4 linked regions of the Caenorhabditis elegans genome follow. The protein of the gene in region 1 interacts with the protein of each later gene in a pairwise test. Each region holds a gene or a part of one and is shown in the gene's direction. Other genes may lie near its edges. The genes, in order: cye-1, cki-2, aars-2 and nova-1.

Region 1 (6,048 bases):
TTTTTGGAAGGTGTTGGACTTTTTGATGTTGTCATATCGGATGAAACAGGCGATTGAGCATGTTTCTCATCTGACATCTCTTCAACTTTTAAATCTTGTTCATCGATTAACTTCGGAGAGAATGATGATGTTGACTCAACGACAGCTGGAAAAATAAACCGTGTTTTTTCTTCAATAAATATTTTTTATCAAGTTTTTATGAGTATATTTACTTTTCTTGGACTCTCTGTTAAAATTTCGAACATTCTTCTTATATTGCGCTCATAATTTTTTTTTAAATGTTAATGAAGAGAGCTATTTGCAGTAGACTATCTAAGCAATTTAATTGTTAATTTTTAATTTTTAGTGCCTTCGCTTATCTATTTTGTTTTTAATAGCCTGAATTTCCATTTCCCTAGAGGATCTCTCGAAAGTTTTGAAATTATTTGAGCAGCTACGGTAGATGCGACTTTCGTGCATTTACGCGTGGCGGTGTTCACACTGATCCCAAAAATTTTTGTTTGAAATAAATTGCTTTTTTTTCGCAATCTTTCATTCTTATTCATTGCTTTTCCGTTTACCATTTTCATACCATTTTCATCTGTTTTTTCCACTTTTAAAAATTCTTCTCGCATTTTATCAGTAGGCTCGGATATTTGTTCGTCTTTGACAAGATCTTCTGGTTTTTCATCAATTTCTAGTTGTATTTCTTCATCAATTTCCATTGGTTCAATATCATCATTCTCATCATCCTCATCTAACTCGCCGTCTTCTTTTCCAGAAGTTTCCGCTTGATCGTGAGCTAAATGCAATAATTTTCAAGATTTACGAGAAATATTTTTTTTTTCTTAAAAAAAATTTCAAACGAAATTTCAAAAAATTATTTAGAAGTTTTTGTTAATCATTGAAACAAATAACGTACCGTCATAAGTTGTTTGAAATTCGGGGGTTTCCTGCAACGGTGGAGGAAGAGGTGGGGGCGCTGAAATCGATGGTTTGTCTTCCGAATCGGACGGACTTTCATCGATCTGTAGACGACCCTCGTCCTCATCGTCTGACATGTTGCTGAAAATTTGAAAATTAAAATTTTACAAAAGATTTAATTAAAGCAATAATCAAATTTTTAAAATACAATTTGAAATGAGAGAAATTTTAAAAATAATAGATATAGTTTTGAAGGTTTTGATACTTGAAAAACGTTATCCTTATTTGGTAGCTTATGAAAACAAAACAAAAACAACTGCAAGATGTGTTTCGGATGTTTTTTCTTCATTCTCTCAATTGTCTGACATCTCCGGAGGCAGTTGCTGTGCCCTCTATTGGTACGTGTCGATTGCCTGCGTCTCTGTGTCAAGAGGCACCCTCTCATCTCTCTGGAGACGGCAGAGAAACATGAGATCGTGGTAAGACCATCAGGGAGGACGGCGGCAAATCGGAGGGAACGCGCGAAATGAGCGCGCGATTTGAATCTAGAGACCATATGACGGAGGTTGTCTGTAGTTGACCTTTTTCGGTTTTATCTGAACTTTCACAGATTGATTGCGTAATGTCCACTAGACATTCGTTATGGTATAATTGATATTTCTTTATTAATTTTCATTAAATATCAGATATCAATCTCTAAATTTCAAGCATAGAAAGTATCGTGCAAACATGAACAGTTTCATGAGCTCAGTTTATATTTTAAATTCACACCTAATTCAAATCTTAAATAATTTTTAATGGAATAACTGCAAATCTAAATCTAAAACCAAAACGACCTTCATTCACTTGTACCAAATCTTATCTGATTTTATGAATTTAAAATCTTATTCTTCTTCACCTCTGACTGATAGTTTATGTTCTCCCTATTGTGTACACTCAAAACTGCACAACATTTGTTATTTGAGCCAGTTTCAGTCGTTATCTTCCTATTTATTTGTTTTTGAATATTTTGAATAGCTCGACTTGATATTTTCAGGGAAATTTGATCAAAATGGCTGGAAGAAAGTCATCAAGGACGGCTGAACGTGTCCCCACTACACAAAAGCCAGAAAGAAAATCTGCTATTTTGTAAGTTGAATTTAGATGGATATTAGAGAACTGATAATTTTTAGACTTTATAAATATTTATTCATCTTTCGAAAAATTTTAATTTTCAGATCTCCACATGACGAACTGCGTGAACGTCTTCTGGAGACTGCAATTGATATGAAGGAAAATATTCCACAACGAAATACCCGAAATTCGAGCGTTGGAAGTCAGAAATCAGATTGTTCTGAGACAAGAAAACGACGAAGTACTAAGGTTTGTGTGCTTATCAGTGAACATTTTAAGATGGAACAAGGGAAATGAAATAGAGAGTGATAAGAAAAGTACTTTTTTAAATTATAATATTACTACTTGTACAAATGCCTAAAGAGATTTTTGCTTCTAATTTTTCGAAAACCGTAAGAAAAACTGTCAAACGATTGCGGATTGTTACTAAGCTGAATGGGGGTAAGGAATACATTTTAATTTGCCAACAAAATTAGCAAATATTTCTAGATTTAAACACATTTTGCTATATTTTCAGTTTTGAATTTAACTTATTTAGGTAACAGCATTCATCCAGAAACACAATGTCTAACAAATTAATTGAATTTCGTGGGTAACTAACTAACAGTCAAACGCTCAATATTGAGTAGTCTGGGTTCTACAGGAAACATCTCTCGTTAAATAATTTGCAAACAAAGTTTGCACTGAGAAACAGACACTTTGTATTTGACCAGTGTAATAGTGCGCCAAAATGTACTCATTCTCCCGTTTTCTTTTTTCTTCTCTCATCTCATGTTCACACCAGCACCTCAGATTTGCGAGAAAATAAGACGCAGACATCGATAGTCATAGTGACCAGTCTCTTTCGTATGCAGAACACAGTTTTGTGTCCGCTTTGTATGTCCAATACTTGTTTGCCGTCTGAGTCTCACTGTTCATCTGGGGGTATAGCTCAGTGGCAGAGCATTCGACTGCAGATCGAGAGGTCCCTGGTTCAACTCCGGGTGCCCCCTAAATACTTTTTGCATTTTGGCTTCTGCTTAGAATCATGACGATCAAATAAGTTTCCTAAATTTGAACAAAATTATATAGTGGTTCAATCTTGTTTGATAATTTATTAATTTTACAGGAAGGTCCAGCTGCAAAACGTCATTCGGGCGAGAAGCATCGAAATGGTAGCCGCGAAGATTCTTTGGAGTATATTAGTGGTAATCTAGTTTTATTAGAGTAAAAATGATATTCTGTTTGAAGAATATTCAGATGATCGTGAAGTTGGATCTTCATCATCACAATCATCAAGAACCCGTGGACAACCACTTCCAGCTATGCCTGAGGAAGAAGAAGTGTTTGATAAATCATCTTCATCTGATAATCTTGCCGAATCTGAAGAAAGTCATGAGATGGTCCGATTGGAAGAGAGACAGGATATTGAAGAAGAAATTGAGGATGATTTTGATGATGAAGAGGAGGATGTTGTTAACGATAAAGAGGAGTACGAAGAAATTGAATCTGAAGATGAAGATGGTTAGTTTCAAAAATACTCATGATGCGTTTGAAATTATTAGCATTTTAGATCAAAATTTGATAAAAAATAGTGTCTCCAAAGAGAGTATCAGTGTTTCAAGCTGAAAAACCTACCCAATTTTGATACAATTTAGATTATCCTGTCCAAAACGAAGGATTTGCCGTTACAAAACGGCTCATGAACGACGAACATATGGTTACGGCTCCAACGTTTCTCAGCACAGCAAAATGCGATGGAATAGGATCACCAACAAAAGTTTGGTCTCTTATGGTCAAACGAGACGAAATTCCACGTGCTACACGATTCTTGCTTGGAAATCATCCGGATATGGATGATGAAAAGCGACGTATTTTAATTGATTGGATGATGGAAGTGTGTGAATCAGAAAAATTGCACCGAGAAACATTTCATTTGGCTGTTGATTATGTTGATAGATATTTAGAGTCATCAAATGTTGAATGTTCAACGGATAATTTTCAATTGGTCGGGACGGCTGCTCTATTTATAGCTGCTAAATACGAGGTAACAATCAGGGGTTTCACTGACACATTTTTCGTTTTTTTTTTTTAGCAAAACCGAAAAAAATTCTAAAACACTTCAAAATCGATAGTTCTCAAACGGAATTAAATATTTATATTACGATTTACACCCTTTTTCAAAAATCCAAAAAAACCGGCAAGCCTGGTAATAATTTTAATAAAATATTTCACCGATCTAGAATTTGGGTTCAATTAATTTTTTCACAGTATAGATTCACATTAATTTTTGTTTTTTTTTTCAGGAAATTTATCCACCTAAGTGCATCGATTTTGCTCATCTCACCGATAGTGCATTCACCTGTGATAATATTCGAACTATGGAAGTTCTTATCGTCAAGTATATTGGGTGGAGTCTTGGGCCAATCACAAGTATTCAATGGCTCTCAACATATCTTCAATTACTCGGAACCGGCAAAGTAGGATTTTAAATTTTTTGTTGATTAAAATATTTTTTCAGAAGAACAAGTCTGATCACTACGAAGAGCAAAACATGTACGTGCCAGAATTACTCCGTTCAGAATATCTTGAAATGTGTAAAATTCTCGATTTTCTGCTATTTGAGATCGACTCATTTACTTTCTCCTATCGTACCATCGCTGCTGCTGTTCTTTTTGTCAACTATGAGCCAACTTGTGCTGTTGAGAAGGCTACCGGATTTATGCAGGCTCAACTTGAAAAAGTTATTGAATATGTTGAACCGGTGTGCCGGGCGTTCGCCAAACAACGACAACTTCTTGACGATGTTATTCCAAAACATGAATCAATAAAATCGGATGATTCACACAATATTCAAGTATACGTTAAAAGGAGTTCAATGGAACCTATTGTGGTAGGTGGATATATAAAATTCATGAATTAGAGGTTGTTTTCATAATTTTTATTTTTCCAGAAAAGCGAACGAGAGAGGATTCAGCATTTAAAAGCTCGCCGTCTTCATCCGCAACGACTTTTCTAAAATAACCCGCAATAGGATTCTTTTATCATCGAAATTTCTGTAGATTACTTACTTCAAATAATCATGCACACAGGTTGTCCCCGTTAATTCTTTCCTTCAATCTCTTTCTCTCTTTCACCTAGTCTGTGCCATTTCAATATGATTGCACCCCGGAAAATATCAAAAACTTCACTTAACAAGTGATCCCATATTACAAAAATATTCAAATTCCGAAAATCGAAAGATGCATTTCCGTTTTATTTTACCGAATTTTGATGTTTTTGTAATGTGTTTAAACCCCTTTTACAATTAACTTATTAATGTTTTGTTTTACTCATCTCACTTCCCCTTCTTACTTTGTGCTTATTTTATGTTTTAGGTTTTTTTATTGTATCATAAAACTGGAAATTTTGAAATAGGCTTCTTTCTCCCTAAACTTTTTTAACAGGTACTGTAACTGGTACATATCCTCTGCCCCACCCCGCTCCCAACTCGTCTTTGTCTGTTTGTTTATACGAAATACAATTTTTAACGAGTATGCGGGTTTCTGTTAGCTTCAACAATACGATCATTCAAATTTTAAAATTAAGAAACTATAAAAGCACAGTATTTACGTGAGTTGAAACAAAATGCCTTCTCCAAATTTCTTAACACTGAAAAATTTTCGGAAAAAAAGCAGAAATTACTCCGCAAAAAATTAAGGACATCATTCCAATATTTTTTTTTACTTATTTGATGAAAAATTAATATATTCCAATAAATTAAAATGAATTATCATCTCAGGAATACTGTAGAATTACTTTAAGATTTTGGCTTATTTATATTAAGTGGTACGGTAGGGGTACTGTAGGTGTATTGCAGAGTTGTAGACACTGTAAATGAAATTCCAAAGAGCATAAAATTTATCAAAAAAAAGTTTGCGTGAATTTCTAATTAATGTTTAATCTTCTTTTTTTGTTAAAATTTGTTCAGGGTTTCTTATCAAAAAATGAATCATTATTTAGTTTCTTGGCTAAAACACTACTCATCTTCGTAGTTTCTTGCCGTGATGTTTC
Region 2 (5,842 bases), on another chromosome or scaffold:
ACTTCTCCAAGTATATGAAAGACAATTAAAACTACTGAGAGAAAGAAGTAGTTCGCGATAAAAAAGTACATATAATACACCTTTTCACCTAGAAGAGATGCTTTCAACTTCTACTTTTCTGGTCATATGTAAATAGTTGGGTTTTTTGACAGTTTGACAGGTTTACGGCAGTCAAGACGACAAAAATGGTTATCAAAAGGAGCTGGCATACAGCCAATACCACCAGTTCTGATCTTTTTACGATTATCAAATTGTACATGGGGGGTTAAGTTGAATTTTAGTTTCATTTTTTCAAAAGTTTAAACTCGAAAAATAACTGAATTGAAATATAGTGAAGTTGGCAATATACCAAGGGTAGAAAATCAGACGAGTGATTTTATTTCTAGACAATCTTAAATTGCTCAAATTGTGGTCTTTTCTATATTTGAACTTTTAAATGCAGCAATTTGTGAAACATACAATTGAAACAAATTTCCTCAAAAACTGCCACCAGCTGAGGTATCATGAAGCCTTCTGTTCACACATGTTGCCACCTAATCGGTCACTTATCCTAATTAACATTCTTCCACTAAATTGTCCCCTAGTCACCCCCACTTGAACGATATACACACCAACTGTTCTCGTTCACTAATACACTTCTTCCGGAGGGATTCAACTGGTTATATTCTGCAGTTGTCGGCAGGTGTGTGGTAGACGGTGACGTAATATTGCACAGGGTGTCGGGGAATGATTATGAAGTCGAGATGCGCAACAGCTGGTAATTGAAGCCACGAGAGAAAATGGAAAAGACTATGATGAGGGCACAAGGATAGAAAAATTGACTGGGAGTGACCAAACAGGCGAGGTCACAATGAAATTGGTGAAAATGGAAACCCTAAAAGTAACTTTAGATTTTAGAAAATAGTTGGACGATTTTTCGTTTTCAAAGTTCAAAGCATGCATTATTATCATCTGAAGATGCACGATTTGACTTGTGTGACTGATATCTCGTCGCGATCTTACCGTAACCTACAGTACTTCCATATTAACTAAAGTTGGTTCGCTTCGAGACATCGGGAACGTGAGTTATGTATTTGGCATTATTCGTCATTTTATATTCTAGAAAGATTTACATTCTGTCAAGTTGGAATATTTTTTCTTAGCCGTGCAATAGAACTTTTGTTGAATTTCTCAGAGTACAATTTTTATGACCGCCGATTTCCTCTCGATAAGCATTACGTTATTTACCTATGGTTTTCAACTATTTAATGAGATTTATCAGGACCTCCCGTAGTTTTATCTTCTATTTTTACTCAAATTTTGAGCTCAAAAATAACAGGAAAGATTTAATCGAAAAAAACATATTTCTGAAATCCAAGAGCAATCGCGCGCTATTGATAATCTGGTTTGCCGCATTTCTCGCGGCAACAACAAAGAGTTTGAATCGAAACGCCTTTTTATTTGAAAAAAAACCTTTTTTGTTTTAAAATTTAGTCTATACGTGAATCTAACACACACAAACTGTTCACTAATTTCTCTTTGTTCGTCTTTTTACCATTTCATTTCGAAACTCGCTGTCGTCTCGTTTCTCTCACCACTCTTCACACTTTTGCCGCCTAATCGATCGATCTTGCCGCGGCGCACTCACATTTTTCTCTTATTTTCTTACCGGCAAAAAATGTACGTTTTACCGCACTTTTCGCTTACATTACTATTTCAAATTCTCTTATCAAAATTATTTCAGAAACGAAGTAACACAAATGGCGGCAACAACAGCCGGCGACGGGAAGCGAAAGGCGGCTAGATGTCTCTTCGGAAAACCCGATCCAGAAGAGGTAAATAATTATTTTAAATCTGATATTCATAGTTAAAGTTAGCAGGTTTCTCGACAGCTCAACAGCAGTCTGGAAGAAATGTATAAAAAGGATTCTCGCAAGTTTAATTTCGATTTTTCTGGCGGAGTTCCAATCGTTGGATCACGAGGAGACTATGAATTCGAGTCGATTTCTGCTTCCGAAGTTCCAAGCTTTTACCGAGAGAAGATTGTTCGGCCGCGAAAAATCATTGCCAGACGGAATTCAACACCGGTTTCTGACACTGTTGAGATGCCTTCAGAATCTCCTCCTGTCGTGGAATCGAACGAGACTCCACTTTTGATTGCTTCTACGTCTACTGAAGTAACCGTATACGAGAAGCCTGTGACCAGGTAAATCAGAAATTCAGTACTTTGAAAATAATTATTTTAATAGATCGTCTGCTGCTAAACAATCAATCGAACAACAGGAGACGTACAACTTGAAGCAGACAAAATTGACAAGTTTGTTTTTATCGAATTTAACGCTGGCACCACTTTCAAAACAATTTCAAATCGTCGTCATTTGTTTATTCCTAAAAAACCATCCGGACTTTTTCGCCGGAACGGCCGACGTCTATTCCTCTCAAATATCACAGTTCTCTCATATGTTCATGCGATATGGTTGACCTTTCAACGGCTCATCGATCACTTTTCTTCCGTGATGAGTTATGTCAAGTTATGCATACCGTCGTGAAACTCGAGAAAAGAACAGCTGGCCTTGGGAAAAAGAAAAAAGAATTTAAAATTGACTAACTGGTGGCTGACGTAATTGAGGGAGCAGATGGAACCTCAAATTGCATGTGTTCGGGAAGAATTACTGGCTAAATTTGTTGTGCACTTCGCGTAGAGGGTAGCATGAAAATTTGAAATTATTTTAAGTATCCCTTGGTGCATGCATGACAATCGAGATTCTTATCTATTACCTTTGACTACGAAGGTCCATATTGCGTTAAGACTTGCGTAAATCGGCTCAATTCAATTTCCTCTTTACACCAGACCGCCCGAACATCTGATTAGATTATTCGTTTATTTAGAGGACGAGAGCTAACTGAACCATTAAAAAATTGCAAGGGTACTAATTAAAATAAATTTTAGATTACATGCCAGTTCGAAAGCGCCGTAGTGAGACGTGCCTGGTCACCGCTGCCGTTTCGATGAGTCGTTCAGTTTCAATCGACTCGAGCATGGAATCTTGCAAGGAAAAACGTGGAAGTAAGATTGTCCACAACAACAAGGGAGCTCCGAAACGGCCACTTAGGTTTGATATAAATTTTAATTAATGAATGAATTTTTGAAACGAATTTTTTCGTTTCAGATTTGTTGCATCAAATGTGCCAAAGTCCGCACAGTCGTCTACCTCGGATACTGTTCTAGTTAGTTCGCCTCGTTCGCCACCAGCCAAGAAGATGACTACCTCGACTCGTCGTTCTCGTCGCCCCATTGAAGCCGGGGACTTTTGAATTTGAGAAGCTCGTCATTCAATTGCTAGTCATCATGCTCTTCAACTTCTTGAGGTATTCATTTAATTCGTTCAAACATATGGGTTCAATTCAAATCAATCACTATGAATTAGGTCAAACGATTTCGTGTAAAGCGGAGTACATGAAACATGATGCGGCAAATGGTCTTTGAAATGAGGTGTCGTGAAAATATATTCATTCATTTATCTGCCACTCATCGCAGCTGTACTGATTGCCGGTGTGATGGTTTTTGTAGTAGTCGGAGACATTACAAATAACCACCCGTCTGGATGTATTGACATGACATGAAATTCAAAGTGGCGATTATGTTTAAAAATACAAAGAATTGAAAAATTATTGAGAGCATTCGACCTTCGCTCTTGTTTTCAGTTTAAATCTGGTCTTAGTTCTATACACTTTCACATCCAGCCAGGAACAAAAAGTAGTCGTTCAAATCATTGAGATTTATGACACATTTTGCGACACTGTTTGATGGGCAAAAAACCAGTTTCTCTGCACCAATCACACCATTCGCCACGGCCATTATCCTCCATTTTCTCTTTTTTCTTCTCGATATTCGTTGGTGAATTTTCTTGAAAAGGGGGATTTTTTCGGTTTCACAGCTTATGTGTGTGAAAGTAGAAGTGTCCAGTTGAAAGAAATCGCCGCCATTGTGAGAGAAAATAGTTTAGTGGAAGTGAAAAGCAGTGAACGAACAGATGCATCCATTGGCACTTCGGTACCTTTTGATGTTTTTCCGAAAATTGAAGTGCGGAAAGGTAGAAGGTGAACGAATATTCCGTTACAATTAAACCCAATAACTGAACGTATTGGTATTTTCTAACTTTATATACTCACTGTGTTGCTGTTGGCTAATCTAACATTTTGTATGGATTTCCAAAATAACCCTAATGTCAGATGTGAATCTAGAAGAATAAATAGGCATTTTATTTGTCCACGGCATGTCGGCTTCTCCTAATAGAAACATAGTACAATTTACAAAGACAATAAGGAGGTTTTATGGGTAACAAAGGAACAAAAATGAAAAGCGGCTATTAATTGAGAATGTGTTTCAAATTATAAGGCGACTTGCATATATTATTGGAACTTCTGCATAGAAAAAAGAACAACCAATTTTCCTCTGTTAGAACATGTTTGTAATATTCTGAGAAAAGTTATCATTATAATTTTGTTCAAAATTAAGTAAATGTGATTTGAACGACGGCCCATTGCGCAAGCTTAGATTCGTTTTGCTCGATAAGACGTTCATTAAAGATAACGAATGATGAGTATGAGACAATTGAGTGACGCAATCACGGGACAAGGTCGACTATTTATGTGTGGGGGTTCATAGCATTTGAATTTTACTGTGTGGAATAATTGTATGTATGTACGTACAGTTGACTTGTTATGTATGTATGTACAGTTGACTTGTTGTAAAAAACTGCTTTTACCTCCGCCCCCGATTGAAAACTCAACGGTGAGTGACGTCAGCAATATATACATTGAATTTATTTGCCAAAATTAATACATTGAAATTTCTATTTTCAGTCTGCCAATTCATCTTCTACAGTACCACACAATCAATCTCAATCAGCTGTTCGTCATAATTGCATTCAAAGTGGAACTTTCACCGTCTACTTTTTTATATTCATAATATAAATTGAGTTTGAAAAATTGCATATTTTATTTTTTTTTTAGAGAATTTCTCTATATATTGTTTCCTTGTTTCGTATACCCCATCCCCCGTTTATCTGTGAATTTGAAATTCCCATACCCTGTCCATTTCTGTGTTCTACTCCTGTAAAAAAAGTCCCACCATATCCCCGTTTCAATTTTTCAAAAACTGAATTATTTTAGATAGTTTCTGTTTTTTTCCCTAATTGGCCCCTTCATGCCACTCAAATCATAGACATTCTAGTTATAAATACCCATCCCATTCCGTTATATCCTACCTCCCCAGTTACTCTTGTTAAATGTTACGTTTTTGGTTATATGAAATCTAGTGTTTCCTTATAAGATATATGGTTTTCAGATTATTTTTAAGAGCCATACATGTGCAATAGAAAGTTACAACGGTTTTCCAAAAACGGACCTGAAAACAAGAAACTGGCGATATTTTATTGGGAGATTTAGCACAAGTTTTATTATTTCGATAAAACACATGCCAAAAATAAAACGAGACATAAAACAAGAAACTGATGAGGAATTTGCTGAATTATGAATAAGAAAGTTATACGCCTAAATTCAAGAGAAACCTACCATAATAATCTCCTATAAATACAACGTTCGTAGCATATGTAACTTGAAATGGAAAACGTTTTGGCTTGAGTAGTAATGGATTATTGTGTACAACCACAGTACGATTTGATTTTGATATTATGTTCTGGAATTAAGAGTGAAACTTTGCAGTAATGAACTTGGTCCTGTTTAGCTAGTAATATTCAAAAAAAAGTTTTTAACTAACCGATAATCGAGGAATATTGGCTTTTTCCAGATCCATGTTTGATACAATTTGAATAACATATTCATCTTCAAACAATGCAAT
Region 3 (5,577 bases), 2.8 Mb from region 1:
GAAAAAACGTTCCATCTGCAAAGAAGGCTTAGAAAATTTAGAATTTGATTTCAATTTTGAGTACGCCAGTCGGAGCACGCGCTTCAGCGCGTGCGAACGGCTGGTATATATATATATAAGTTATTGGTAAATTGTAAATAAGTTTGTAAATGGTTTAAAATAAACCTCACAATATTTTGTACTTCTTCTTAATTGATTCTTCGTTTCTAAAATTACTTGAATAACCCAATAAGAAGTAGCTTTGTCTTCAGTATAAAGATCAATTTTTTTGGCGATGGATCACTTGTAAATAGTAGCTGAAGTCTATATTTCTTGCTCTCTACATTCAAACCATGCATATGAAAAGAATCTGTTCTCGTGAACGTATGTTCTATAGAAGGCACCTCCAGGATTCGCTTTCGAACGACCGATGCAGATTTTTTCGAACAAAGAGATAAAATGAAAACGTCTGGTTCATTCATTTCCTTGAGCAATTGTGAATGAACCACACTTGGTAGAGAGAATAATTTGACGGACATTCTAGAAAAAATTCTGTAATGTTGCGTACTTGGTTTAAAGTTATGCTATACAACTAAATTAATATCCAGTTGAGAAAATGAAGAAAGTTTAAATAAATGTAAAATTAAAAAAAAATACAACGATTTTCAATCAAAGATTAGAGTGAGTCTTTCGGAGAAAAAGAGCAACTCAATGACCAGCTTGAATTTATCGATCTGACAAGACAAGAGATTTTATTTCTGAAGAGCGACAGTGATATTCCATTTTCCTTCGGTTCTTCGTATTATTTTCTCATTTTTCGCTTACTATTAGTATTATATCGATTAATCAATTATTTTAATTGTTTTCGAAAAACGAGCCCGTAAATCGACACCACAGTAGTCATTTACATAATTACTGTAGTTTTCGCTACGAGATATTTTGCTCGCAAAATGCTGCTCAATACGCATTCTCAGAATTTTGTGTTCCTGTACTAAAAATCTATTCCACGTAATTCTAAAACTAAAGGTTCACAGATATATCAGTTTTTCAGATTTAACACTTTTTTCGGGTTTTTTTGTAATTTCCCAATTTTCTTAAAATTATCATGTTCGGCACTATCTTATTATCTATCCAGTTGTTTTTTTTTCAAATGAAAATCAATTTATTGCTCCACAGAAAAACATATTGAATGCGGTGTTGACAAGTTTTACCGAGTGAGAGACTACACAAATTTTAGAGATGGAAAAGAGAACAATGTGTGCTGGGTCTTTTATGAATCGAATCGTTTACAAATGGATTTGCGTTCATTCCTATTTCATTTTGATGATAAAAATGAAAGAAATTGACCAAATTTTCTACCGCAAAAAATTAAATTTTGAAAATGAAGTTTTCCCGCGGTTTTCATAGAAAGTGTGCGGCGCTTGCGTTTGGACTCCGCCCACCTCACTGAAATGTTTCCCGCACTCATTCTTCATTTTATTCGCTATTCTTGTCTTTTTCCGCGCTTCCGCTTTCTTCCGCGCACTGTTTCGATTTTTCTTTGTTCAGCTTCCTCGTTCTCGCACCCAATTCGCACCGAATCGAATTCGATTCATTGCGAAATCTCTCGTAATCTCGCCTCCCCTATTTTTCGTCGTTTATAAGTTAGCAAAAACAATTTTAAAGTTTTTTCTTTCAGAGCAACCTCTCCTGGGTTACTATGAAGCACCTGACTGCCTCAGAGGTCCGCTCTACCTTCATCAACTTTTTCCGAGAGAAGAAGGAGCACACTTATGTACATTCGTCGTCTGTTATTCCGCACGATGACCCAACTCTTCTTTTCGCCAACGCGGGAATGAACCAAGTAAGAATATTCAAACGGCTTTTCTTGCAATTAATAATTAAAATTTTCAGTTCAAGCCGTTGTTCCTCGGAATCGCCGATCCAAACAGCGACCTTGCCAAGCTGAAAAGAGCCGTGAACACGCAGAAGTGCATTCGCGCCGGTGGAAAGCATAACGACTTGGACGATGTCGGCAAAGATGTCTACCATCACACATACTTCGAGATGCTTGGAAATTGGTCTTTCGGTGATTATTTCAAGGTTAGAAATTGATTTAGTTAATTAAATTTCTTTAAAAAAATAATTTTCAGAAAGAAATCATCACATGGGCTTGGGAACTTCTCACAACAGTATACGGAATCCCAGCGGAACGTCTTTATGTGTCGGTTTTTGGTGGCGACGAGGCAAACGGAGTCCCCGCCGACTCTGAAGCTCGTGATATCTGGAGATCCGTCGGAGTGCCAGACGAGCGCATTTTGAACTTCGGTATGAAGGATAACTTCTGGGAGATGGGAGATGTTGGACCATGTGGACCATGCTCTGAGATTCACTATGATCGCATTGGAAATCGTGACGCATCTCATCTTGTCAACGCCGATGATCCAATGGTTGTTGAAATCTGGAATCTTGTCTTCATTCAATTCAATCGCGAGGAAGGAGGCGTCCTGAAACCATTGCCAGCGAAGCACATCGATTGTGGTCTTGGACTCGAACGATTGATTGCTGTGATGCAGGATAAGACGAGCAACTACGATACGGACATTTTCCAACCAATTTTCGAGGCGATTCACAAAGGAAGTGGCGTTCGTGCCTATACTGGCTTCATTGGTGACGAAGACAAAGACGGAGTGGACATGGCATATCGTGTAGTTGCTGATCACGTCAGAACATTGACCATTGCTCTCTCTGATGGTGGCCGTCCGGATAATTCTGGAAGAGGATATGTGCTCCGTCGAATTCTTCGTCGTGGAGTTCGTTATGCCAGCGAAAAGTTGAATGCACAGCCTGGATTCTTCGCATCACTCGTTCCAGTGGTTATTTCAATTCTCGGAGAGACTTTCCCAGAACTCAGCCGTGATCCAGTGACCGTCATGGATATCATCAACGACGAGGAGAAGCAATTCCTGAAAACGTTGTCTCGTGGACGTGTTCTCTTCCAACGCGCTGTTCAATCGCTTCCAGAAGGAACCATGACGTTCCCTGGAGATGTTTCATGGAGACTCTACGATACATATGGATTCCCAGCTGACTTGACTCAACTGATGGCCGAAGAGAAAGGATTGTCTGTCGATAATACTGCTTTCGAGGAGGCTCGCAGGAAAGCCATCGAGACATCATCAGCTGGAACTGGAAAGTTCCGTGACACGCTGGATTTGGATGTTCACGCATTGGCTGAGCTTCAACAGAAGGGAGTTCCAACTACCGACGATTCGCCAAAGTACGCTTACACGTTTACTGGAGAAGGATCCGATGCTGTGTACAGTATGTTTTTTGTTTGTTTTTATGAACTTGTAATAATTATTTTTCTTCAGAGTTTGAGCCATGCGTTGGAAAGATTCTTGCTATTCGCCGAGACGGAAAGTTTGTCGATCAACTTGCTGCCGGAGAAGAAGGAGCCATTCTTCTCGATCGGACAAATTTCTACGCCGAGCAGGGAGGTCAGATCTACGACGTCGGAGTTTTGACAAAAGTCAATGACGAGTCGAACGAGTTCAACGTGAGCAACTGCCAAGTTCGTGGTGGATACATCGTGCTTGTTGGATCCGCCGAAGGAAGCTTCTCAGTCGGTGATCAGGTCAACGAACGATTCGATGAAGACCGGAAGCAACTGATCATGAAGAATCACACCGGAACTCATGTCCTCAACTATGCTCTTCGCAAAGTTCTCGCCGATTCGGATCAGAAGGGATCACTCGTTGCTCCAGATCGTATGAGATTCGACTTCACCAACAAAGCTGGAATGACTGTTCAGCAAGTGAAGAAAGCCGAGGAATACGCTCAACAGCTGATTGACACAAAAGGACAAGTTTACGCCAAGAACTCGCCACTTGGAGAAGCCAAAAAAGTCAAGGGACTTCGTGCGATGTTTGATGAAACATACCCAGATCCAGTTCGTGTTGTCGCTGTCGGAACTCCAGTTGAGCAACTTCTCCAGAATCCTGATGCAGAGGAGGGACAGAACACGACTGTCGAGTTCTGCGGAGGAACGTGAGTACTAATTCTTTTTATATTTTATGATGATACCCGTTAAATTTTGATATAATTTTTATAATTTCAGCCATCTCCAGAACGTGTCTCACATTGGCCGCATTGTCATCGCATCGGAAGAAGCTATTGCTAAAGGAATCCGTCGTATCGTTGCATTGACAGGACCAGAAGCTGAAAGAGCCATTGCCAGAGCCGATCGACTGACTGCTCGATTAGAAGAAGAATCGAAGCATGCCGATAAGAAGGATGAGCTCTTGGCCAACAAGGATAAGTTCAAGGCTCTCCAGAAGAAGATTCAAGAAATTGTCGATGAAGCCAACGGAGCTCAGCTGCCATACTGGCGAAAGGATTCTATCCGTGAAAAGGCAAAGGCCATTCAGAAGACTTTGGATGGATACACAAAGGCACAACAAGCCGCTGTCGCTGAAAAGGTTCTTGGAGAAGCCAAGGAACTTGCTGCTGTCGCTGAGCAGCCTACTGTTCTCGTTCACGTCTTCGCCGCCAATGCTAACAGCAAAGCCATCGATAATGCTCTGAAACTTCTCAAGGACACAAAAGCAGTTATGGCTTTCTCTGTGAATGAAGATTCTGGAAAAGTTTTGTGTCTTGCTAAAGTTGATAAGGTGAGAAATTTGAAATTTTGAAACAATTCAGAAAAATAATATAATTTTTTCAGAGCTTGGTGAGCAACGGCCTGAAAGCCAACGAGTGGGTGAATGAAGTTTGCACAGTTCTCGGTGGAAAAGGTGGTGGAAAGGACGCAAATGCTCAGCTCACCGGAGAGAATGTCGATAAACTTGATGCTGCCGTCGAACTCGCCCAGAAATTTGCCCTTGCTGCAATCAATTAATTTCCCCAATTTTCAATCTATTTCCTGTTTTTCATATCGCTTCCTTTCCTCTATTTATTGTTGTCTGTTGCATTCTAGTTCATTGCTCTCCCTCCCCGTCATTATATTTATTTCGTATTTCTATTTTATGTTTCAATTTGTTTGCTGGTTTGTCGAGGTTTCAAAATGTTTATGCAGTAAATAGAGGCCAAACTTTTTCCCATTTCACGAAAACAACAATTTTGAGTGGGTTGGACGCGACAGCTGGACAGCTGCTCAACTCGCGGATCAACAACACCTCGATCGATTTCAAAAAAAAAAGTACCTTCGACTTGTCAGCCAACAAGTTTCGAAAGATTCTGGAGATTTCTGAAAGTGACGTGGCATTACACTTCAGACATCTCTAATTTGTGGCACAGCTATCTGAACATTACAATGGACAAAAATGTGAAGAACAACAAAAGAAACGGAACGGCAATGAATTCCAGATGGCGATGAATGTGTTTTACGGAGGAAAAGAGCAGATTTTTGCAATTTTGCAGATTAGAAAAATGATTTGAGAACAAATTCCAGACATATGCTTAAGAGATAAGTTTCTTGATTCCCGGTCGTGTACTGCTCTGGGACAATCAATTGATAAAAATATTAATATATCTATCCAATATATTCAATTATATATCCAAAAAGATATATCCAATTGAATTCGGGCGATTTTTCGTGTTTTATCATGAATTCTCTTG
Region 4 (4,891 bases), on another chromosome or scaffold:
TAAGTTTCTACAAATGTAACTACTTCAGTTTCTCTGTACCAAACTTTGAAGAATTTTTTATTACTTTAAAGATCACTGAAATAGTGAGCCGTTGTCTACGAGATCAAATATGTCCGAAAATTACCATTTGGTATCGGTCCTAACAAATCAGTATTTATACCAAAGTTGTTTCTTCGTCAATATTTTGAATTTAATTTAAAAACACATATATTATTCAATTTTCAATCTCACGTGAGAGAGTGTGAGAGAAAAAGAGGAATTTTGAAATAAATGAAATTGAGAGAGGCCGTGCTCCAAGGCTCCATCGATGTCGAATTTGCCATTGGACGTCATTCATAAAATTGTGGAAAAGGTTGAACCAATCGAACGGTATAATCAGAACTAGTTTTTGGAGGATTAATTAAATTGAAAATTTCAGGCTTTCTGTCCGTAAAGTCTGCCGCAACTTTCGTGCAATCGTCGATAATAAGGATCCTGGAATCAAGCGCGTTGTACTTAACATCCATCACTCTCAATTCCAGATGTGGCTGCTTGACGCAAAATCTACTGTAATTCACTATGATTTCAGTCATTCGCATTGCACAGTAAACTACAATGATCGGAATGAGCGCTTTAAAGGAGTGAACGGCTTGAAAATGGCTGAGACAGACTTGTCAGTGGTGATGAAGAACTCGAAACTTCAATTGGAAGTCCTTGAATTCCAAGGATATGATCGTATTCAAAAGAAGGAAACATTTATGAATTGGTTCAAAGAAATGTCCGATTCAAAAAACCTCTACAAGGTAAAAAGAATCGACTTTTCCATTAATCTTCCAACTTTTGCCGCAACAATTTTTCCGCTTCTTCAACCAGGATTTCTAGAAGAAATTTGCATTTACTGCAGCGGGAATCCAGATTACGTCGATCAATTATTTGAAATGGAGCAATGGAAAAGAGCCAAGTCGATTTTTATTGATTCATATGGAGAGAAGCATTTCCCAATTGAAAATCTCTTCCATCTTACCCACTTCTTCATTGATACGGCGTATCTTTCTGTCGCTGATGCTGTTAAAATCAGAGATGTTAGTTTTTTAATGTTCCTTCAAAAAAATTGTCATTTTTTCCAGATTCTCTTGAAATCGACTGTTTTTGAGTCTGGAATCATCACTTCTAGAAATATCTTCAGCGTTGGAGTTGTGCGAGTTTTCAATCCAAATTTCATTGCTAGAAGACCTTTTCGCGTTGACTATGACAATGGCTCTCACTTCAGCCTCTTATACGATCATATTTCTATCAAAATCGAAAAGAAGAAATAAATTAAACTGTTGTTCACTCGTGTGGTTCTCATTAAAATAAACTGTTTTGTTGAAATCTGTTTTTTTTCTTGTTAAATTACAATTTTGAGACATTTTTGTATTAAATTGCAAACCTTGTTGAAAAGTGGAGATTTTCCCGAAAATTTGCTGGAAATTGTGAGAAAAACTATAAGTGAAAAATTGAAATTTATTAGATTTTTTAACTAATTTGCATGGAAATGCATGGATAACCGGTGCAAATTATACAAAACCTCAAGTATTCACGATTTTCTTTTTTTGAGAAAATGATTTTTTGTTTCAATATAGATGAAAAATTGAATTTCAACCCGGAATATTGAGAGTTTCGACGATTTTCTCTCAAGTTTCACGATTTCTAACCAATTTTTGACTCTAAAATTCAGGAAATTTCATTAAAAATCAATAATTTTGAAAACATTTTAAATTAACTTCAATTTAAAAACCGGACTACGGTACACAACTCCGCAAACACCGCACGGCGTGTTCTGTCTACCGTAGTACGGCGCAATAAAAAAAAATAAATTTTTTTCCAATTTTCGAACTTTTCACCCAATTTTCGGCGCTTTTTTGCTGATTTTCGACGAAAAACTGAAGGAATTAACAAGCGCAATGGAAGGTTCGTGCTTTTTCAACTTGAAAAAGGTAAAATTCGAAAAAAAAAATACCTCTTAGGATTCAATTTTTCCATTAATTCCGCAATTTTTCCATCCTAAATTGATATTTCTCACAGAATTGTTTGATTTGTCTTATTTTCCGGCAAAATAATGTTTGAATTCGATAAAAATCGGAAAAATTCGGCTGAAAATGGTGGAATTTACGCCAAAATCCAGATTTTTCGACTTTTCAGCAAGTTTTTGGGTAAAACTACGCCGTTTTGACGAAAATTGCAAGAAAATTGACTTAAAATTTGACTGTATAATTTATGAGTTAAAATTTAAATTCTACTGGTTTTCCGGTAAAATTGCAGTTTTTATTGTTACAAAAGTTCTAAAAAACTGAATTTTGCCTTAAAAAACCCGTTTTTCTGGAATTTTTTGCTGAAAAAATTGAAAAATTGCTTTAAATCTCGTTTTTAAATCAATTTTTCTGTCAAAATCTAACGAAATCTCTCAAATTTTCGATTGGTCTGCTAGCGTTTTTTGTAGTTTGTAGTCTAGCAGATTAAATTTCTGAGATTGGGTCTGCCAGACTACAAATTACAAAATGTATTTAGCAGACCCATCACTTTTTCGACTAAATTTTGCGTTTTCAGGTGAAATTAAGCAGATTTAAAGGAAAAAACTCAGTTTTTCACAGAAAACCGACAAAAAATATGAATTTTTCGTATTTTCAGAGTTTTTTCGGCGAAAATTGTGATTTTATGCATAATTCTCTGTGAAAATTGATTTTTTAAGTCAATTTTCGTGAATTTTCACATTAAAATGTCGAGAAAATGCACATTTTGAGATATTTCCCGCAAAAAAATCAGGAAAAAATGCTCAAAATTGGCGATTTTTACCAAGTTTTATGGTCTGCCAGACTACAAACTACACAAAATGTATTTAGCAGACCCAAAAAAAAACATTTTTCGCGAATTTTTTTGATTTTTTTCTTGCATTTTTGATCAATTAGCATTAAAATTCACTAATTTTCCTCCCCAATTCCAGAAAAACCGGTTTTTCTGGAATTTTTTGCTGAAAAAATTAAAAAATTACTTTAAATCTCGTTTTTAAATCAATTTTTCTGTCAAAATCTAACGAAATCTCTCAAATTTTCGATTGGTCTGCTAGCGTTTTTTGTAGTTTGTAGTCTAGCAGACCCGAGTGGGTCTGCTAGACTACAAACTACAAAACGTATTTGGCAGACCCATAGTTTTTTCGACTAAATGTTGCGTTTTCATGTGAAAATACGCAGATTTAGACGGAAAAAACTCGGTTTCCCATAGAAAAATATGAATTTTTCGTTTTCTTAGACGGTTTTTTGGCGAAAATTGTGATTTTACTCATATTTCTCTGTAAAAATCGATTTTTGAGTCAATTTTCGTGAATTTTCATATTCAAATTGCGAGAAAATTCAAAATTTGAATTTTTCCAGCGAAAAAATCAGGAAAACTGCCCAAAATCACAGCGAAATTGACGATTTTTACCTAGTTTTATGGTCTGCCAGACTACAAACTACACAAAATGTATTTAGCAGACCCAAAAAAAAAATTTTCGCGAATTTTTTTTATTTTTTCTTGTATTTTTGACCAATTAGCATTAAAATTCACTAATTTTCCTCCCCAATTCCAGAAAAGCCGGTTTTTCTGGAATTTTTTGAAAAAAATTTGAAAAATTGCTTTAAACCTCGTTTTTAAATCATTTTCCTCTCAAAATCTGACGAAAATCTCTCAATTTTTCGATTGGTATGCTAGCGTTTTTTGTAGTTTGTAGTCTAGCAGACCAAATTTCTGAGAGTAGGTCTGCTAGACTACAAACTACAAAATGTATTTAGCAGACCCATATTTTTTTCGACGAAATTTTGCGTTTTAGGTGAATATAAGCAGATTTAGACGGAAAAAACTCGGTTTCCCATAGAAAAATATGCATTTTTTTTAAACGGTTTTTTGGCGAAAAATTGTGATTTTATGCGTAATTCTGTGTGAAAATTGATTTTTTAAGGCAATAATCGTTAATTTTTCCTGAAAAATTCCGCGAAAATGCAAGATTTGAATTTTTTTCCCGCGAAAAAATCAGAAATCTGCTCAAAATAACAGCAAAATTGACGATTTTTACCAAGTTTTATGGTCTGCCAGACTACAAACTACAAAAATTGTATTTAGCAGACCCAAAATCCATTTTTTTTTCGCGAATTTTTGGATTTTTTCATGCATTTTTTATTAATCAGCATTAAAATTCGCTAATTTTCTCCCACATTTAGGAAAAAATCGATTTTTTTTTGCCAAATTGCCCCGCTCTCGCCGTTCTTTTTGGCCATCTGCTCTCCGAATAACACTTGGCATGCTGCCAAGTGTCCCACCAACAAATCCCATCGATTTTCGATGTTGGCGAGGGACAAAAAGTGACGACGATTAGAGAGCATTGAGAGCTGAGAGAGACGAGAGAAAACATGGAACCTCTCGTTGTCTGCCGTCTCTTCATCTCATCATTGTGTCCGTCAACTGACTCATTTCTTCGTATTTACGCGCTCTTTTTTCGAAGGAGGACGCGTTCCGTTTTTTTTTTTGGTTTCGTACAAATTTTTGGTTTTTTACGCGATTTTCTCGAAATTGCGTGTGAAAATTTGCAAAAAATTCGATTTTTCGTTTCAAAATCGAGCTTTCCTTCTAAATTATCAAATATAATCGTAAAATCGGTTTTTCTCTACGATTTTTCTTCAAAAGCTGAATTTTTTGCTGAAAAGTGGGTTGAAAATCACGAAAATTGCAAATTTTAACGCTGATCAATAAAAAATGCAAGAAAAATGGATTCTGGGTCTGCTAAATACATTTTGTGTAGTATGTAGTCTGGCAGACCATAAAACTTGGTAAAAATCGCCAGTTTTGCTGTAATTTTGAGCAGTTTTCCTGATGATTTTTTCGCGGGAATAATGCAAACATT

The links.
Region 2: the proteins of cye-1 (region 1) and cki-2 interact in a two-hybrid assay, tested with the Caenorhabditis elegans proteins (one large-scale study listed by BioGRID).
Region 3: the proteins of cye-1 (region 1) and aars-2 interact in a two-hybrid assay, tested with the Caenorhabditis elegans proteins (one large-scale study listed by BioGRID).
Region 4: the proteins of cye-1 (region 1) and nova-1 interact in a two-hybrid assay, tested with the Caenorhabditis elegans proteins (one large-scale study listed by BioGRID).

What each region holds. Positions count from the first base shown.
Region 1 is NC_003279.8:6,778,867-6,784,914, forward strand, and holds cye-1 (G1/S-specific cyclin-E), read left to right. Parts: upstream 1-1,939; 5' UTR 1,940-1,954; coding exon 1,955-2,031; intron 2,032-2,120; coding exon 2,121-2,265; intron 2,266-2,936; exon of another isoform or gene 2,937-3,008; intron 3,009-3,124; coding exon 3,125-3,203; intron 3,204-3,246; coding exon 3,247-3,519; intron 3,520-3,653; coding exon 3,654-4,042; intron 4,043-4,301; coding exon 4,302-4,475; intron 4,476-4,516; coding exon 4,517-4,888; intron 4,889-4,948; coding exon 4,949-5,014; 3' UTR 5,015-5,530; downstream 5,531-6,048. Other genes in the region: pqn-21 (C2H2-type domain-containing protein), read right to left, coding at 1-145, 572-781, 902-1,040; acdh-5 (medium-chain acyl-CoA dehydrogenase), read left to right, coding at 6,042-6,048. UniProt on the Caenorhabditis elegans protein: Essential for the control of the cell cycle at the G1/S (start) transition. In association with cdk-2, regulates proliferation, quiescent state and cell fate during the development of several cell lineages.
Region 2 is NC_003280.10:7,814,969-7,820,810, forward strand, and holds cki-2 (Cyclin-dependent kinase inhibitor domain-containing protein), read left to right. Parts: upstream 1-1,531; 5' UTR 1,532-1,659; intron 1,660-1,721; exon of another isoform or gene 1,722-1,723; 5' UTR 1,724-1,739; coding exon 1,740-1,814; intron 1,815-1,856; coding exon 1,857-2,185; intron 2,186-2,228; coding exon 2,229-2,296; intron 2,297-2,929; coding exon 2,930-3,092; intron 3,093-3,149; coding exon 3,150-3,294; 3' UTR 3,295-3,348; intron 3,349-4,845; coding exon of another isoform or gene 4,846-4,904; 3' UTR 4,905-5,308; downstream 5,309-5,842. Other genes in the region: irld-47 (Receptor L-domain domain-containing protein), read right to left, coding at 5,365-5,507, 5,557-5,680, 5,762-5,842.
Region 3 is NC_003279.8:3,981,527-3,987,103, forward strand, and holds aars-2 (Alanine--tRNA ligase, cytoplasmic), read left to right. Parts: upstream 1-1,656; 5' UTR 1,657-1,678; coding exon 1,679-1,822; intron 1,823-1,872; coding exon 1,873-2,061; intron 2,062-2,111; coding exon 2,112-3,282; intron 3,283-3,332; coding exon 3,333-4,008; intron 4,009-4,078; coding exon 4,079-4,631; intron 4,632-4,684; coding exon 4,685-4,858; 3' UTR 4,859-5,055; downstream 5,056-5,577. UniProt on the Caenorhabditis elegans protein: Catalyzes the attachment of alanine to tRNA(Ala) in a two-step reaction: alanine is first activated by ATP to form Ala-AMP and then transferred to the acceptor end of tRNA(Ala). Also edits incorrectly charged tRNA(Ala) via its editing domain.
Region 4 is NC_003283.11:18,078,862-18,083,752, reverse strand, and holds the start of nova-1 (K Homology domain-containing protein), read left to right. Parts: upstream 1-1,846; 5' UTR 1,847-1,922; coding exon 1,923-1,929; intron 1,930-3,712; exon of another isoform or gene 3,713-3,797; intron 3,798-4,891. Other genes in the region: fbxa-106 (F-box domain-containing protein), read left to right, coding at 282-369, 419-1,061, 1,107-1,295.